2 linked regions of the Xenopus tropicalis genome follow. The protein of the gene in region 2 purifies or fractionates together with the protein of the main gene of each other region. This does not show direct contact. Links are inferred from orthologs where the notes say so. Each region holds a gene or a part of one and is shown on either strand. Other genes may lie near its edges.

What was found.
Region 1: the proteins of serine/threonine-protein kinase 35 (region 2) and c1orf174 purify together in Homo sapiens (affinity purification with mass spectrometry; 3 studies listed by BioGRID and IntAct, counting the BioPlex papers as one, with this or other methods). This does not show direct contact. The link is inferred for Xenopus tropicalis from reciprocal best matches to the Homo sapiens genes STK35 and C1orf174.

The regions. Positions count from the first base shown.
Region 1 is NC_030683.2:96,894,808-96,899,068, forward strand, and holds the start of c1orf174 (UPF0688 protein C1orf174 homolog), read right to left. Parts: upstream 3,071-4,261; 5' UTR 3,030-3,070; coding exon 3,015-3,029; intron 1-3,014.
Region 2 is NC_030686.2:888,642-893,193, forward strand, and holds the start of serine/threonine-protein kinase 35, read left to right. Parts: upstream 1-1,499; 5' UTR 1,500-2,034; coding exon 2,035-2,368; intron 2,369-4,552.

The sequences.
Region 1 (4,261 bases), on a different chromosome or scaffold from region 2:
CAGAATCCTGCATTGAAATCAATTTTTCAAAAATGTAAACAGATTTTTTTATATTTAATTTTTAAATTTCAAATGGGGTTAGGCGTGTTCATTTGCTAGAGAGCAACAACCATGTGATCTGTGCTCTGATAAACTTCAGTCACACTTTACTGCTGAGCTGCAAGTTGAAGTGATACCACCCCCCTCCCAGCAGCTTCCAGAAGATATCAGAATAGCGCTCAATAGTAAGAAATCCAAGTCTGCCTTGGGACTACTCCAGTTACATAGGAGTAGGAGAAACAATAGGTTATCTGAAAGAAGTTCTTATGTGTAGTGCTGGCTCTTTATGAAGGCATGCATGAACTGCAAACCATTCTTAAATCAAGGGGAAAATCCAGTCCATCTTATGCCTTATAAAACACATATCTCTGATTTTGGACTTAAGTGAATGTGCCATAAAGATATGGAAACAAAAAATGCATACATTCGCATTTTCATGCCGGCATGCGCTCCGTGTAGCTCCACACAGGCTGACACCGGTCCTGTCAATGGAGCTACAAGGGTATGTGCATAAGAGCGGATTCATTTTTCTCCATGTCTATAAAAACTGCCTACAGAGAAAAGAGGTGGTTATAACACATCACTTCTAAATTAACAAAACACAAAAGGAAGTGGGCGATGGAAAGTATATTTTTAATACCTCATGTAGGTGTTGGGATATTGCTATAGGAGGCATACAAAAAGAGTGAATGTATGAACATTCTTTTGATCTTAAAAGGAAACAAGATATGTTACATAATATTGTTTCCAGTTGTGTTTAATATACATTATTGGATGGATCTTTACTATTATGCGACATCATCTTGGAGCTTTGTCGGACATGGGGGGAAAGTTATTTTAGTGGGAGGTTAACAATCATTTTATCCTTGAAATGGTTCTAATACCTGTACAACTGTATGCTTTTATTGCCTATCACAGTGCAATGGATGCACAGAGTCACTTACATGCATACCTGTATGTATGTATATCTTTATTTATAAAGCGCTACTTATGTACGCAGCACTGTACAGTAGAATACATTAATACAAACAGGGGGTTTTAAGATAATAATAGATAAATACAAAGTATAACAATAAATACAAGATACAGTTACAATAAGTTAAGAGTCAAAGACACAAGAGGATGGAGGTCCCTGCCCCGTAGAGCTTACAATCTATACCTAAACACAAACAAAAATCAGAACCCATTAAATGACAATTACTTTAAATTTCTATTAGGCTTTAAAAGCCAGTGCCAGACAGTGAAAAAATCTTAATAACAAATGTATGCATCTAGTGCCACTGAACTACTACACAAATAAATGTATCTAGACAAAACAGAAATAATTCCTTGGGCAATGTTCAAAAAAACCTCACAGTTCTTGTAGCTGTTCCCATCTATAACTGCCAAACAGACTCATGTACAATGAAGTTGCGGCTACATTGTACATTTCTAACTTTTCATGTAAATCTGTGCCAAATCTAAAAAAGTGGAAAATTATTCCAGAGAGTCTGATTTTCCTTTTTTTTTTTTGCCTGTTGTGATTCTACTAAAAGCCAACACTACTTGGATACAGGGGATTTGCTAGCCATGCAATCTGTGCTCAATGTGACACTGGCATAGGATCTGAAAGGGCTATGACAGAAGGGGAGATTAGTCACCGCGCAACAAATCTCCCTTGTCGTGGGCGACTAACCTCCCCGAAATGCCATCCCACCGCAGAGAATGTAAATCGCTGGTTGGATGGCATATGTGGCAATTTTCCGAAGTTACAGAAGTTTCTTCTCAAGGCAACTTATTCTTATTGGAGACTATTGGGGTTTATTTAAATGATTAAAATGATTTCTTAGCAGACTTAAGGTATGAATAAGGAGGGAGATCCAAATTACAGGAAGACCCCGTAGCTGGAAAACCCCAGGTCACGAGCATTCTGGATAACAGGCACATGTATTTGTTGCAGATGCTATTACTGAGGAAATACAAAGTACTTGCCCCCATGACTGCAAGGTCCTTAGCTTAAGTCAGTGGTTCTCAACCTTTCTAATGCCGCGACCCTTTAATACAGTTCCTCATGTTGTGGTGACCCCCAACCATAAAATTATTCCTAAGACCATCAGAAATGTGTTCTTCAATGGTTCTTTGATGGTCTTAGGCGACCCCTGTGAAAGGGTTGTTCGACGCCCAAAGGGGTCCCGACCCACGGGTTGAGAACCACTTTAAGTGACCATCACTTTAAATCACCAAGTACATAGTAGTGCCTGACAATAATAACATATTCTTTATTAAGTCTTTAACAAGTGGCCACAGAAACAAGCAGGGGGAGTTGAGGCCCCTACATACAACTGAACCACCATTTGTCATAAGGATCTTGCTGCAGAAAGCAACTACAACTCACAAATTCTATATCAGCCCTCAGCTCAGCCACTAGCCAGCATCTTGAGAAGCAGAGTCAGAAAGTCCCAAAGTAAAGCCCAAGTGACATTTACACAAAACACACATACAGTTACCCTTAGTAACCCAGCAGCTCTGAGGGAAAAGTGCAGCCCCACAGCAATTTTACACTACAAGTCCCAGCATCCCCTGATAGGCTGCAGGCTGGAGAGCCCCTGTAACTGTGACACTAACAACAAAAGCTAAATGTCTCAGACTGCTAAGCTTCTGCTAGTAAAGAAGCCTAAGGGAAGCCACAAAGATGTAATTATTATAGTATAACAATGGTTGTCTGTCATGGTTGCCGCTAAGCCCGGATAAACTACAACGTCCATGATCCCCGGTCAGCAGTACGGTTTCTGAAAATCAGGACGGAACCTGTACCGGAATTGCCATTTGACGTGCCTTATTTAATTGCCTTTGTGCAAACAGCAGGGCTATCCCGCGTCTCCACCCTGATCCCCCTCCTCTCCAAGCCTAGTAAATACGACACTGGAGCGGCCGATCGCGTAATGCAGATAGATGGGACAGTAAGCAACATTTCCACAAAGCGACACCCTTCTTACCTTTCTCTTTCTCATGTGGAACGGCCTCTTACCCGGTACCTGTCTAAACTAAAAAACTTTCTCCGCTCCCCAGAAGCAGCCGCCCAAAACTTTATCAAACAGCGTCACGAATTTGGCTGTGCCGGCCTGCGTATGACGTCACAGGCTTAGAACTAGTGCAAGGGACGCCCTCCGCGGCCATATTGGGTATGGGCAAACCCTGCTGCTGACTGAGGTCCAAACTGATTGAGCAAGTTACTTGCCTCCCCACCCAACGGGGCAGATTAATATGTCAATATGTGCACTTTCATTTTAATCTGTATTTATTGTTTGTAAAAACACATTGCAATTTTGCTTTATATTAATATAAAAGTATATATATTTATGGCTAAAATAAACTAGTATCGTTTAACAGACGAAGTTTACGAACATATTATACTTGGCTGTCTGTTGAATTGATGTTTTATTGCAATACAGAAAGACTTTGACCATTGAGGAGACTGCCAGAAGTATATTCCTGGCTGGATGTGAAGTTATATTTAATGATAAATGACAGAAGCTCATTGGCTTTTAAATGAGCTACAGAGGTTTAAAGAGAAAGTTTGGCAGTAAAAGGATATGGAGAAACTAAAGTCACAGTCCTATTGGCTTTTGCCAAAAAGTTTCAAGTCATTGGACTACAGTATATGTGTTTAAAAGCCCGTACAACTGCACCTCTCATTGAGAGAAACCTGTAAGAGGCTATGTACACTCTAGAGGTGAGTGCATGGCTGTGACCTGAAGATTCTAGATCAGGGGTAGGGAACCTATGGCTCGGGAGCCAGATGTGGCTCTTTTGATGGCTGAATCTGGCTCGCTGCCAAATCTTTAAAAAAAACAAAAAACATGGGGCGTGGCCCGCACTTGGCGGATAGAAGACGTGTTCTAAGCCTTAGAACATATCTTCTATCCGCCAAGCGGAGGCCACGCTCTCCTCCGCATCGCATCCACATCCGGCATCCTTACCGGGTTGCACTTGAACCAGGGCCCAGGGAACTGAGAGGAACATTCGAGTAGAAACCCGTGTCAGTTCACGCTTAAATTGAAAATACAATGTGGCCAATATGTGTTGGAGCTACAAAGAGAAGCCAACTGTGCTAGGTAGCCCTCTAGTTATACCACTAACAAGCCATATTGAACAGCTAAAGATGACACCCACCCTACCTTGCCCCTCAGCATCCGCGGCCGAAAGGGGATTGAAACCGCATTGTCCTCCACAGGCAGCCACA
Region 2 (4,552 bases):
GGGCCCCAGTGGCACTGCAGTTACACAGAAAGGGAGACAGGGGGCACCAGTGGCACTGCAGTTACACAGAAAGGGAGCCGGGGGGCACCAGTGGCACTGCAGTTACACAGAAAGGGAGCCGGGGGGCACCAGTGGCACTGCAGTTACACAGAAAGGGAGCCGGGGGGCACCAGTGGCACTGCAGTTACACAGAAAGGGAGCCGGGGGGCACCAGTGGCACTGCAGTTACACAGAAAGGGAGCCGGGGGGCACCAGTGGCACTGCAGTTACACAGAAAGGGAGCCGGGGGGCACCAGTGGCACTGCAGTTACACAGAAAGGGAGCCGGGGGGCACCAGTGGCACTGCAGTTACACAGAAAGGGAGCCGGGGGGCACCAGTGGCACTGCAGTTACACAGAAAGGGAGCCGGGGGGCACCAGTGGCCCCACAGGGCTTTAGTGACATCGCTGCTGCTGACAGAGAGGGAAGGGACAGGATGAGACAGCTGGGAGTGGGGTTAGAAGGCTGTGTGAGACAGTTACAGCCTATGGTATAACAGGCAGAATTGTTGCCCCAACACACCCCAATATGACAGCCGGACTGGGCTGGGGAGCGGTGCACTGTTTGGACTACCTTCAGATTTGGCAGAGAAGTCGCCTCTCCCACTGCAGTTACAGGTCACTCAGCATCAACCGAGGGGCAGTGAATACAGTGAGTGTGATTGTAGCTTTCCTTCTCCTTTACAGGGGGGGGGGGGGGTTCAGCTCTAATTTAACCGTTAGTATGTTATAGAATGAGCAATGCTGAGCAACTTTGCAATTGGTCTTCTTTATTTATTTCTTACGGTTTTTGAATTATTTGCCTTCCTCTTCTGCCTCTTTGCAGCTTTCAAATGGGGGTCACTGACCCCGGCAGCCAAACCCTATTGCTCTGTGAGGCTCCAGTTTTATTGTTATTGTTACTTTTTATTCCTTATCTTTCTATCCAGCCCCTCCCCTATTCATATACCAGTCTCTCATTCAAACCGCTCCCTGGTTGCTAAGGTAATTTGGACCTTAGCAACCATATAGCTGTTATAACTCCAAACTGCAGAGCTGCTGAACAATAATTCAAAAACTAATTACAAATAATAAAAAATAAAGACCAATTGCAAATTGTCTCACAATATCACTCTCTACATCATAGTAAGAGTTAACCAGAGTAGGTTAGGGGCGGCGCATTTACCTGGGATAAAGGTGCCTGATTGTAATTAGGCCCCGCCCTTCCCCAGTGTAACCAATCCCAACTGGGCCAGCCTTTCCCCATAACTGAGCCCATTCCCTTTATCAGCTTAGTCGCTCACTCACACTGACACTCACACTCACACTCACACTGACAGAGCTCCCTGCCTACAGACACATTGAGAGAACTGCCCCCGTACTAGCAGGGCCCATGTGGACCAAGGAAATGAGAGCCTGACACACCCCCTGGGACACACCCCCTCTGGGACACACCCCCTCTGGGACACGCCGCTTTCCGTAGGACCCGCACAGTACAGTAGTTGGATTGCACCAAAGAGGGAGGGTTCAAGTTAATTAGAGAAACCGGAGACGCAAAACGAATTTATTTCCGAGTTGCTGAATTTACACCGCCCTTAATGATACAGCGGCAGATACTTGGGCCTCCAGGCTGCTGTGTTAGCCCCACATGTGATTGCTACCTCCCCCCGGAAGGGCATTTGGTCTCGACCAGCGTTTGGTGTTTACAGTCTGGGAACACTGGAACGTACCAAGTGGGGAGGGGAGACTCATCTAAACGTCCCATAAGTCTGGCGATTTCCGCATGTGCTTGTTACGCACACTCCCGTGATGCTCTTCCGTAAATGAGATAATTCAGGCCCCGCCTCCCTTTAGGCTTTGTAACCGATCCGGCCCGATTCCGTATTCCGGTTCTGTCCCTCCCCCCCCGCCAGTGGTATCTCCCAGCCCTTTCCCTTCCCGCCCCCAGGCCCCAATCCCCAGTCTGTGAGGAGCCGGCGGGGAGCGCGGCTCGGAGCGTTGGGATGAGGGAGCCGCCATGGAGCGCAGCCCTGACAGGAAGCGGCGATGCCCTGGGCCCCGGTACAGTCTGTTGGCCGAGATCGGGCGCGGCACTTACGGGGTGGTGTACGAGGCCCTGGCCCTGAGGAGCGGGGCGCGGGTGGCGGTGAAACGCATTCGCTGTGACGCCCCCGAGAATGTGGAGCTCGCCCTGTCCGAGTTCTGGGCCCTCACCAGCCTCCGCCGCCGCCACCCCAACATCGTGCGCTTCGAGGAGTGCGTCCTGCAGCGGAACGGCCTGGCCCAGAGAATGTCGCACGGAAACAAACAGTCGCGCCTCTACCTGCGACTTGTAGAGACTTCTCTCAAGGGTGAGTGTGGGGCCCCCCCAGGGGTGAGTGTGGGGTGAGTGTGGGGCCCCCCCCCAGGGGTGAGGGTGGGGTGAGTGTGGGGCCCCCCCAGGGGTGAGTGTGGGGCCCCCCCAGGGGTGAGTGTGGGGCCCCCCCAGGGGTGAGGGTGGGGTGAGTGTGGGGCCCCCCCAGGGGTGAGGGTGGGGTGAGTGTGGGGCCCCCCCAGGGGTGAGGGTGGGGCCCCCCCAGGGGTGAGGGTGAGTGTGGGGCCCCCCCAGGGGTGAGGGTGGGGCCCCCCCAGGGGTGAGGGTGAGTGTGGGGCCCCCCCAGGGGTGAGTGTGGGGCGAGGGTGAGTGTGGGGCCCCCCCAGGGGTGAGTGTGGGGCCCCCCCAGGGGTGAGGGTGGGGTGAGTGTGGGGCCCCCCCAGGGGTGAGGGTGGGGCCCCCCCAGGGGTGAGGGTGGGGCCCCCCCAGGGGTGAGGGTGAGTGTGGGGCCCCCCCAGGGGTGAGTGTGGGGCGAGGGTGAGTGTGGGGCCCCTCCAGGGGTGAGTGTGGCCCCCGGGTAACTGCCCCGGGAGGTACTGTATGGGGAAGGGTACAGTATCTGCACCCTGGGGGTATGTAAGTGGAGGGGTAACTGTATTTACACCTGGGGGGGCTCTTTTACCCCATAGGGATTTACTAAAAAGGGAGGGAGTCTCAAATGTGGCCCCATGGGGGTAACAACAAGGGATCACGTCTGAGCCTGGGTCGGAGTGTAAGGTGACTGCCCCATTGTGGGTGACAGGAAGTAATTGAAGGGCAAGTACTGGGGTAATAGTTGTACCTGCACCCAGGTGGGCACTGAAAGGCTCGGGGGGACTGGCACCCACCCACTCAGTTAGTGCCCCAGTGGTTTGCCTAAGGGGTAACTAGCAACACTGGCAGGTAAATAACTACCCCAGCCACTGGGGCAACTAACTGGGGGTACCTGGGTTAACTGAACCCCAATTGTTCCTAAGTAAGAAAAGTAGCCTGTGGGGTAACTAGCAAACTACTGAAATACCCTGGGGCACAAATACAGTCGGGGGGTTATGTCTTTCTCTGGTACTAGTGGGGGGCCCAGGGGGCACCCAGAGATCTCTAGGGTATTGGGTAACAAGGAGCTTGTGGGGGGACTCCCTATAAAGCTAAATATCCTGGGCAGTGGGAACGGGGGGTTCAGACCGTCGGTGCCCCCCCGGCCTCTCGGTCAGGTGCCCCTAGCCCACCCCCGGCCTCTCGGTCAGGTGCCCCTAGCCCACCCCCGGCCTCTCGGTCAGGTGCCCCTAGCCCACCCCCGGCCTCTCGGTCAGGTGCCCCTAGCCCACCCCCGGCCTCTCGGTCAGGTGCCCCTAGCCCACCCCCGGCCTCTCGGTCAGGTGCCCCTAGCCCACCCCCGGCCTCTCGGTCAGGTGCCCCTAGCCCACCCCCGGCCTCTCGGTCAGGTGCCCCTAGCCCACCCCCGGCCTCTCGGTCAGGTGCCCCTAGCCCACCCCCGGCCTCTCGGTCAGGTGCCCCTAGCCCACCCCCGGCCTCTCGGTCAGGTGCCCCTAGCCCACCCCCGGCCTCTCGGTCAGGTGCCCCTAGCCCACCCCCGGCCTCTCGGTCAGGTGCCCCTAGCCCACCCCCGGCCTCTCGGTCAGGTGTCCCCTAGCCCACCCCCGGCCTCTCGGTCAGGTGTCCCCTAGCCCACCCCCGGCCTCTCGGTCAGGTGCCCCTAGCCCCCCCCCGGCCTCTCGGTCAGGTGCCCCTAGCCCCCCCCCGGCCTCTCGGTCAGGTGCCCCTAGCCCCCCCCGGCCTCTCGGTCAGGTGCCCCTAGCCCCCCCCCGGCCTCTCGGTCAGGTGCCCCTAGCCCCCCCCCGGCCTCTCGGTCAGGTGCCCCTAGCCCCCCCCCGGCCTCTCGGTCAGGTGCCCCTAGCCCCCCCCGGCCTCTCGGTCAGGTGCCCCTAGCCCCCCCCCCCGGCCTCTCGGTCAGGTGCCCCTAGCCCCCCCCCCGGCCTCTCGGTCAGGTGCCCCTAGCCCCCCCCGGCCTCTCGGTCAGGTGCCCCTAGCCCCCCCCCGGCCTCTCGGTCAGGTGCCCCTAGCCCCCCCCCGGCCTCTCGGTCAGGTGCCCCTAGCCCCCCCCCGGCCTCTCGGTCAGGTGCCCCTAGCCCCCCCCCGGCCTCTCGGTCAGGTGCCCCTAGCC